Linked DNA regions of Arabidopsis thaliana. The protein of the gene in region 2 interacts with the protein of the main gene of each other region in a biochemical or structural test. Each region holds a gene or a part of one and is shown on either strand. Other genes may lie near its edges.

Region 1 (6,029 bases), on a different chromosome or scaffold from region 2:
AAGCTATCCTCTAACGAAGCATTTGGGTAACGACATGTCGTCGTATATATATCTAGATACACGTACATATTAAATTAGAAATTTACTCCAAAAGCAGAGGATTCTCGTAATCATTACCAAGTCGGCTCGAAAGTAGTTTATATACATTACTATGAATACATTTCCAAATGAAGATGCCCGTGATTTATGACCCCACAAATTCAAAGACAAAGACAAAAAAAATATATACCCTATTAAACCGGTTTGGTTTAGATACAGTCCCAACCATAGAAGATACAATCTTACTACATATACTTTACGTTGCAAATTTATAAATACCAACCCATGTCAGTGTCTTGTTGGTGTTGCTTAAAAAGAATGACACAAATATTAAATTCCACGTAGGGACCTTCGCTGATCATTACATATTCGGTTCGTTTTCACTTATCACGTGGGTAATATTTGATGTTATGAAAGTGTTCAAAAACTACGTAAATTATAGTTTTTGCACCCAAAAAATAAAATACAAATGGTTGAGTTTGTATACAGGGAAACATGCAGACATAACCTCAAACTTTTTTTTTTTTTGCAAAGCTACCTTTCACCTGCAACACAACCATCCAAGTCATAACTTAGCTCGAGTAAATGATCTCTCAACGAGAGCATGCGTTCACAACTTAATAAAAAAACTCAATAATTTATCAAAACTACAGTACGTTGTTTTAAATATTTTAAAAAACTAACATAATGTGAAATAGGGACCGTAAAATGACTTAACAATTGAACAAATAACCTAAACCGTGTAAGACTATATTATAAAGATTCGAACACATGACATGAACTCAAGACATAACCATATAATACACGTACATCTTTTGATAAATCATGAAGAATAATATCAAAAAGAAATTCTTGGTAATGAGTCGAAAATCAAACCATTAAATTTTCAAACTCGAATGTTTGTAGATGTAAAATTTTAGGAAGTTTCATGTATAAAAAGTAACCATGTTCGGAACTGAATAAAAGCTATAAAAGGACTTTGTTAACTTCGGAATCCGTAAGTTCAGAATTGTCTCGACTAAAATAAAGGTCCAAAATCAGTACTAATGTACTATGTAATATGTATCATTGCTAAGCCGCACAATCATGAAATTTTATTTTGGTACTACAAAGCCGCAAAATCAGTACTATGCATCATTGCAAAATCAGTACTATGCATCCGAGAGAGTGTTGAAAAAAAAATTTGGTACTACAAAGCCGCAAAATCAGTACTATGCATCATTGCTAAGATGAGGTAACTGTCCATTAAGCCGACGAAATTCGGTTTTCATTTTTCTCATTTTGATTTTTTCTAGGTGTCAGACTCGTCACTCCCAATGTCTGAACCGAAATTAAAAACCAATCCAAACCATAAGACCGTTTGAAGACATTGCAATTTTGGTTATTTCCGGTTACCTTTCGCATGTATGCAAATATAAACAGATTTTATGTACACAATTGGACGATCTATTTTCCGAACAATTGATATACAAAAATATAACCCACCGGACTTTTTTTCTACACGTTATGTATATTTACTTCTTTCAACGACGTTTCTAAGACTCGTCCGGCTTTGGTTCGAGAGTTACAGAGATTTTCTCCTTGTGATCGCCTCTTAGAACCTCTACGGTCACCTAATCAACATCATCAGTGTCAAAACTATCTCGGATGCAGAAACTAATTGACAAAAACTGCGGAGTTTACCTCATCGCCGACTTTGCATTGATCGAGAATCCGGTACAGATCACTCCCGTTAGAGACTTTTGTACCGTTCACCGACGTGATTATGTCTCCTAGTACTAGTCTCCCGTAACCATCACGTTTTGTTGACTGAAGTCCCTGTGGAACAAAACCAATTTTACACATTTCAATATTAAAACCGCGGAGTGAAACATAGAGAAAATATCTGTTATATGGAAACTTGGAAACAGGAAGAGCTTACGGCTTTGCCGGCTGGACCACTTGGAGGAGCATCCAAGACGAGCACACCGCTCACTCCCAATTGCTCAACAGATTGGTCCGGTGCGAATTTGATACCTAAGATTGGTCTGGTGACTTTACCAAATCTCACCAGCTGATCAACGATACCACCAACCTGAACATGAGAGAAACAGAGCTCGAAACAACTTTAGTCTCCCGTTAGTGGATTCAATGATAGAGAAAGACTCTATCTGATCAGATTTGCAATGGGTAAAAAAGAAGAGAGAACTCACTGTATCAACTGGGATCGAAAAGCCCACTCCAGAAGATGCACCAGAAGGAGAATAAATGGCTGTGTTTATACCAATTAACGTTCCTGAGCTATCTAGAAGAGGTCCTCCGCTGTTACCAGGGTTAATGGCTGCATCTGTCTGTATCACATCTTGAATTGGACGACCAGTTGCAGCAGAACTAATTTCTCTTCGCAAACCACTGTACAAATCATAATGCACAAACATGCTACAGTTTTAATAAGAGAAAAGGAATAGTATAGCCATTTGGCATGAAGAGGGGCAAGAGAAAATATATGTATCCAGTATCCTCAAGTACCAATCATCTTTTTTGACACTTTCATTTGTGAGTTCGTTATGAGAAGAACACATCTGATTAGAGTAGAATGCAACTTAAAAAAAAGAGAAGACAAATATAATTTAACATACCTTATAACACCAGTTGTGAGAGTATGATCAAGTCCAAACTGCACAAAAAAGTTCTTGCTTTAGTGCGTATGAACAAGAAACATAAGTATTGACCTAGCTAGCAATAGAAAACACAAAGCAGAGCTTTAATCTATGATCACTTTAAGGATGTATACTCACTGGATTGCCAATGGCAAAGACTTTCTGGCCAACAAGCAGATCAGCAGAGACTCCAACAGGTATAGGTCTTAATTTGTTTTTCGGTGCATCAATACGTAATACTGCAACATCCTTATCTTGGTCAAATCCAACAACTTTTGCATCAAATGTTGTTTGATCAGCAAGAGTGACCCTGTTATATACATCATCCAACTTCCTTATCATACACAAACATCAAAAGAAACCATCCAAAGAAACAATGTACTCATTATAAAACTAAGAATACAACAATTACTAATTCCAATTTCTATCAAAAATCAATCAGATTCTCAAAGTTTCAACATAACTAACCTGAGATCAGAAGCACCACGAATAACATGGTAATTGGTAACAATATGACCTTGCTTATCCCACACAAATCCTGAACCAGAGCCTTGAGGTACCTCAAGAACGTCCAATGTAAACGCGTCCTGCCTAATTCAAACAACATTAGACCAATCCTCAAATCACGGAGAGAAGAAATTCAAAACGAAATTCACCAGAGAGAAATCAAATTCAGATACCTCACGGCGAGATTAGTGATGTAAACAACGGAAGGAGTGTTCTCTTGAAACAAACGAACCGTCGCGAGCTCATCAGTTTGAAGTTTCTTCGGAGTACTAACTACAAACGCCGAGGCAGATTCAACGGCGGGAGAAGCGGCGAAGAGTGAAAACGATAACGCGACGGAGGTACAGAGGAGGAAGAAAGGTTTAACGGCGGAGAACGGAGTAAAATGAAGAGTATCATCATCGTCGTCTCTGTTGTTGTCGTTTAGTGAAAGCTTCGAGAGGATTCGGAAATAGCGTTTGGATCGGATTGGGTAAAGAGAAATTGGAGAGGATCGTGAAGAAGAGAGATTGAAGAAGGAGAGGTGAGAAGAAGGAGGAGAGTGAAGGAAGAGAGTGGAAGAAAGGAGAAGCGAACAACTCGTCGTCGTCGCCATTTAGTTTCTTCTTCTTCTTCTGGTCATGGGACAATGGGATTGTGGTCTCTGTTTTATTTCATTTTTTTTTGTAATTAAAAATATTAATTTTTGAAAATAATGGTTTTTCTATGCGAAGCTATGGTTTTGTATACGTAACCGAATCGAACCGAAATTGAATTGAAATTTGTTTAGTAAACCACTATTTTATGATCTTATGAATCTGGAATAAACAAAACCGGGTCTTTTTTTTGTTACCGAATCAAATTGAATCGAAAACTTTTTGTACTTTGAAAATAAATTTAAACAGTAACCTTTATTATGGTAAATATTATAAAGAATGTTGTTACTTATATCCATAACCCGTAGTACACCAATAATCGATTTTTTAAAATTTTTAAATTTAAGTTGTATTTCTTTATATTATTTGTTTTGTTTTTGTTTGATATTTGTTCACCCGTAATATATCATCCCATATAAATATCGTTCCAAACCGAATGAAAAGTCCAAAAACAAATCAGGATTTCGCTTCATTTAAGAACTTCGAAAAATCAAAAGCCCAAAAAGACCAAACTTAAGAGTTTAAACCAGATAATCCACTCCTAATTTTGAACACTAAACACTTGTACTCCATAAGAGTAAAAATGGTTATTCCTAAGTAATTCTTCTTTCGTCGAACTTATTAAATACTTGACTTGGTTGATATCTAAATCTACTAGATAAAAGTGCAAAAAGATTAATGGTGTAGTTTAGAGAATCTTCTGGGACGGTCTAAGTTCTTTTGGCAGCTCACTAAAATTCTCTGCGTCCACATCGGCTTGATACATTGGTCTCTTCCCCATTTTCCACACAATCCCTTCAGCTAAATGTTCTTTGTTCGGTGTCAGCATTACAAAGTTTGGATCAGCTCTTTGGTAACTGCAATTTCACAAAATAAAACAATGTGAAGAAGATCATGAAGCTAAAGAGGGTTGATTTAATTTTAAACTTGTCACAAATGGACTGACCTGGCTTCTCTTAAGTTATCAACACGTAGACCGAACCCACATTGGACATTTCCAGTCCTATGATTAGTTGTTGCTGCATAAAAAATGAGTCCAAACATGTTCAAATACCAAGAACCTATGTTCATCTTGATTTCGCTGCATTCAGGTTATTTATCAACGCATACCTGAAATATTGAATGCGAAAGACGGTTTCCACCACGACTTGAATGCTAATGACAATGTTGAGCTATGAGCTCCGACTTTACCCTGCAAAAGTTGAAAATGTTACATACTGAGCAAAATTTGAGATAAATGGTTTCTTTTTGAGTAACTCGATAAGGTAAATATTTTTTTATACCTTCAGCAAAAAGTTCTTGTTGGCCTGCCAAGACGCAGCCACCTGCAATAAAGAATCTGGGGCATTGGGTGGCGTCTTGGAATCATCAACCCTTCAATATTAAGACGAAATATAAAGTTCTGTTTCTGTATAGACAAACAGTAGCTACAATGTTTTTTTTTTTTTTACTTAGAGATGTTCACTACCTCGATTGTAGCTCAAAACCAAAATCAATGTAGTTTGTGATTCCAACTACTTGGTTTTCTTCGAAAGGATTTTGCACCTGTTCCAAGTCCATTAAATCGATTTCATATTGAGCCAAAGATGTGCTAAACTTTATATATGGAAGACTAGTATAAGATGCAGCACAGAAAAAGGACTTGTTTGAAAGAGTTGTACCCGTCTTTGGACCACTACGTGTTGGTAGAACGAAGCAATAAACTGCATTTACAAGAAAGATAACATAATCAGCAAGACTAAAAATGCTACAAAATGGATGATATGCCATTAGATAAATAATGTGGTCGTTTGTCAAGTTCCATGAGATACTGAAAAATTGTTTGGGGTTAAGACTTGTGCATACAGACAGCAAAACAACATGTTTTCATCTACACGGATTTTAAAAGAATCACCTGAGAGCTTCTTGCTAGTTCAATGCCAATGTTAAAAGAAGGAGTCAAGGGGCTTTGTGACCCTACTCCATAGCCAGCAGCACAACTCCAGTTTCTTGGGTCTGTGTACTTTGCCAAATCTTTGCTTCCATCTAAAACAAAATCCAATAACAATTGTTGATGCTCACTTTCTTTCAATCACATAATTTATAGATACTAGTTTCCACATGTGATGCGTAAAATCTGTTCAACAGAAATAAAACAATGTAAACTAACTCACGTAGCGGCTCATATTGTACTCCTACTGTAAGACTTCCCATCTTGCTTACAAGCCAT
Region 2 (3,799 bases):
TTCTGTGTTGATCTGTTGTGACAATGGGTATTGATCTGTTTTGTTTGACTGCATCAACAAAGTATTTCCACCCAGATAACATGTCCTCTGCGGAGAAGATGAAAATTGAGCTCTCGAAAGTCAGGGAAGAGTTCAAGATGTCAGAATCAGACTGTGGTTCTGCACGTGTGCAAGGTAAACTCTACATAAGGCCAGTGGTCTGATCAATGTTGACTTTAGCCATTTAAAGGTTTACACGTTCTAAGATAGATTGTCTTGTGATGTCTCTGGTCTCTCCTTACAGTGGCACAACTCACTACTAAGATCAAGCATTTATCCTCAAGTTTGCACAAAAAGGTAAAACTTCAAACTGTTTTCGATATTTTTGTGAAGCTATCCATCCCAGTTTCTTGTGGAACCTTATGTCATACCTGTTGGTGGCTGTACCGTAGGACAAGCATTCGCGGAAGGGACTTTTAGGAATGGTGCAGAAACGGAAGAAACTGTTGAAATATCTAAGACGAACTGACTGGGATTCTTACTGCCTTGTCCTGTCAAAACTCAGCCTTCGTGACAACCCGGATTACAAGTGCTAAGCTTTATTGCACTAGAGACCCGATGATGGTATCTGTGCACTCTTTTGGTTCAACCAACTTACTGTTGTGAGTGAGACTTAGCTGTTCAAACCCTGTTAGGCATTTTCCACTCTAGGGAAGAAAGTCGCTCTATTCTATTTTGTCCTCTTACTCCAGTGTTTCAGCTGGAGCTCTTCAATCATGCATTTGTGGCAAAGAAATGAAGTTGTGGATCTCTTTCATTGATGTTTAGTATTCCCTTTCACATTTGAGTTGTGATAATAAAGTTATCTACGAACAAGCCTCATGATTTCATTTTACATTTATAGCAATGGTTTGATGATCTTTTCCCAAATGTCACATTGAAGAAGAGAAACATTAGGTTTTTGGAAGAGAAATTGTATCTACAGAATCAAAAACATCATGCCGTTTTCTCACAAACCAAGAGCACCGAGAGGCGTTTTCCCCTGCCCGGCCTCAAAGTAAAAGATCAACATGGCAACCATTGCGAGCCTCGAGTGCTTAATCTCTGCCAATTTCAGCCTCTCCAGCTTCTCAAAGTCCGGCTCATAAACACCGTCGCGGTTTTTCCCGGCGAGACCCAACGGATCGAAGAATCTCCCACCGGGGTATCCCTGATCGCCGGTATAGTTCGCGAAATTCTCGGCGGTCTTCGACCATGGCGTTGCCCACTCAACCGATTGAGAATCCGGGTTGAAGAAATCGACCCATCGTTTGCTCTCCACCCAACCCATGAGAAGCAATTGGGTTCCAAGAAGCGACCCGAACGAGAAGGGAGCGATCGCGTCTGGCTGGGCTCCAGCTTCAAACCATGCCACACCGCTCCAGGCCTGGCCGACGAAGATCCCAAGAACCGCTGCCATCGCCCATCGGCCATGGATCAGCTCAGCCTCTCTGTACCATTTCAGAAAAGCCGGGTCTTTCCCCAAACCCAATGGGTCGAACCCGAAATCTCCTGGTAGCCTGCGAATATCACACACATTTGACTCAATAACTGGGTAACAAACAATTCGGGCTTTTCATGCTCTCTTGAGATTCAGCTAACAAATTAGAACCAAATGAGTAATCAGGACCTTGAATTATCATAATCTATTGTCCAAGCTAGTTTATGAGAGATATGAATGAAAATTCAGCATTGTTCATGCTAGTAACTCAGATATAAAAGAGAATAGACTTACGAGCCATCGAGCCATTCAGGGTCAAGGAAGTTGCCACCACCTTTAACGGCAGGGATCCAAGATTTCTTAGGCTGAGCAGCCGCAGCAGCGACAATAAGAGTTTTCCTGCCAACTCTCTGAGCTCCAGTGCCTACGCCGCTTGCCAATGCGGTGGCACCTCTCTTGCCTCCGGTGAGGAACGAAGAACCAAGCCCACTGAGGACAGCTCCGGAGACCGCCATCGCCATGAGATCTCTAATATACTTGCTCTGTTTTTTTCTCTCAAGATGTGGAGAAATGAGTGTTTGGTTGTTGTTCTCTCTCTCTGTTTTTCGGAGCAGAAAGAATCAAAGAGAGGAGATTTAGAGGGACAATGTGAGATAATGAGAATCTATAGACGAAATCTCAGAGGCTGTCGTGGATAGATTTCTGACCAATTAGGAGTCAGAAACTACTTCACCATATCCACATCACCCACACTCACCACTGTCTTATTCTGCCAACTCAGTATTTACATTTTTCTAATACTTTACTTATCTAAATCTAAATTGTGAGAGGAAAATAAAATGACACGTGGAAATTAATTTATTTTCTTATTGAAATGTAAATGACAGCAATGAATTTACAAAATGGCTGCATTATGTGGCTTATTGCGTTTAGATTACACATTACATGATTAACTGAAAAAAAAAACGAAAATTTAAAAATATATAAAGAGAATTAACGATTAAATGGCGGGGAATCCCAAGTAGGCGGAGGAAGCTCAACAAACGGTTGATTTGAACCCATGTCCGGGTTTGGTGTAACCGGAAACGGATTATCCGGTATTGTTGGGATGGACTCTATTGGTGGTGCGAATGACGTCACCGGCGGTTGCCATGGATTTGTGACCTCTGGCGGCGTGGTAAAGTCGGGAGTTTGGGGTGGGAAATCTCCGAGGACTGGTGGTGTGGAGAATACTGGAATTGTCGGTGGATCTTGTACGGTCGGTGGTAATGTGAAAACCGGCGGGATCTCTTGAACCGGTGGAGGCAAAATCGGCGGGAACTCTTCAGCCGGTGGAGTGAGAATTGGCGGGAAATCTTGAACCGGTGGAGGCATAATCGGAGGGAATTCTAGAACCGGTGGAGGCAAATTTGGCGGGAACTCATCAGCCGGGGGAGCGAGAATTGGGGGGAAATCTTGAACCGGTGGAGGCAAAATCGGAGGGAATTCTTGAACCGGTGGCGGCAACTCATCAGCCGGGGGAGGTAAAATCGAAGGAAGGTCTTGAACCGGTGGAGGCAAAGTCACGGGAATGACTGGTGGCGTTAATGTTGACTGGTCAATAGGCGGTTCAATGGTTACATCAGGTGGTGGCGGTTGTCCGATGACTATATCCGGTGGGAGATTGTTTACTGGTGGAGGAGATCCCGTGATTATAACCGGTGGGAGATTGTCTACAGGTGCAGCTGGTGGCGTTAATGTTGACCGGTCTAAAGGCGGAGGAAGGAGGAAAACTGGAGATGGTGGTGGTGATCCAGTAGTAATATCAGGCGGCGAAAACCATGCTAGTGGTGGCATGGGCGGGACGTCTGCGACTAGAGGCGGAGGAGGTGAACCGGTGATTCCCGGAGCTCCGCCACCTAATAGAGGAGGAGGAGAAACGGTGATTCCCGGAGCACCACCGCCTATAAGAGGAGGAGGGGGTGAACCAGCGATTCCTGGAGCTCCGCCGCCAAAAAGAGGTGGAGGAGGTGAACCAGTGATTCCCGGAGCTCCGCCGCCAAAAAGAGGAGGAGGAGGTGAACCAGTGATTCCCGGAGCTCCGCCGCCTAAAAGAGGAGGAGGGGGTGAACCAGTGATTCCCGGAGCTCCGCCGCCTAAAAGAGGAGGAGGGGGTGAACCAGTGATTCCCGGAGCTCCGCCGCCTAAAAGAGGAGGAGGAGGTGAACCAGTGATTCCCGGAGCTCCACCGCCTAAAAGAGGAGGAGGAGGGGAACCAGTGATTCCCGGAGCGCCACTGCCTAAAAGAGGCGGAGGAGGTGAATCTGTGGTTCCCGGAGCGCCACCACCTAAAAGAGGAGG

Evidence for each region.
Region 1: the proteins of LHCB6 (region 2) and DEG1 form a complex in vitro, tested with the Arabidopsis thaliana proteins (one study listed by BioGRID).

Annotation. Positions count from the first base shown.
Region 1 is NC_003074.8:10,365,085-10,371,113, forward strand, and holds DEG1 (DegP protease 1), read right to left. Parts: upstream 3,861-6,029; 5' UTR 3,781-3,860; coding exon 3,359-3,780; intron 3,270-3,358; coding exon 3,147-3,269; intron 2,989-3,146; coding exon 2,817-2,988; intron 2,696-2,816; coding exon 2,658-2,695; intron 2,431-2,657; coding exon 2,232-2,430; intron 2,114-2,231; coding exon 1,961-2,113; intron 1,858-1,960; coding exon 1,723-1,857; intron 1,653-1,722; coding exon 1,575-1,652; 3' UTR 1,525-1,574; exon of another isoform or gene 1,265-1,524; intron 585-1,264; 3' UTR 568-584; downstream 1-567. Other genes in the region: AT3G27930 (beta-galactosidase), read right to left, coding at 4,509-4,677, 4,767-4,839, 4,931-5,012, 5,104-5,194, 5,289-5,365, 5,482-5,523, 5,715-5,845, 5,974-6,029. UniProt on the Arabidopsis thaliana protein: Serine protease that is required at high temperature. May be involved in the degradation of damaged proteins. In vivo, can degrade beta-casein.
Region 2 is NC_003070.9:5,445,697-5,449,495, forward strand, and holds LHCB6 (light harvesting complex photosystem II subunit 6), read right to left. Parts: upstream 2,185-3,799; 5' UTR 1,981-2,184; coding exon 1,754-1,980; exon of another isoform or gene 1,539-1,753; coding exon 989-1,538; 3' UTR 766-988; downstream 1-765. Other genes in the region: AT1G15810 (S15/NS1, RNA-binding protein), read left to right, coding at 63-174, 284-336, 432-575; AT1G15825 (hydroxyproline-rich glycoprotein family protein), read right to left, coding at 2,453-2,833; AT1G15830 (uncharacterized protein), read left to right, coding at 3,030-3,799.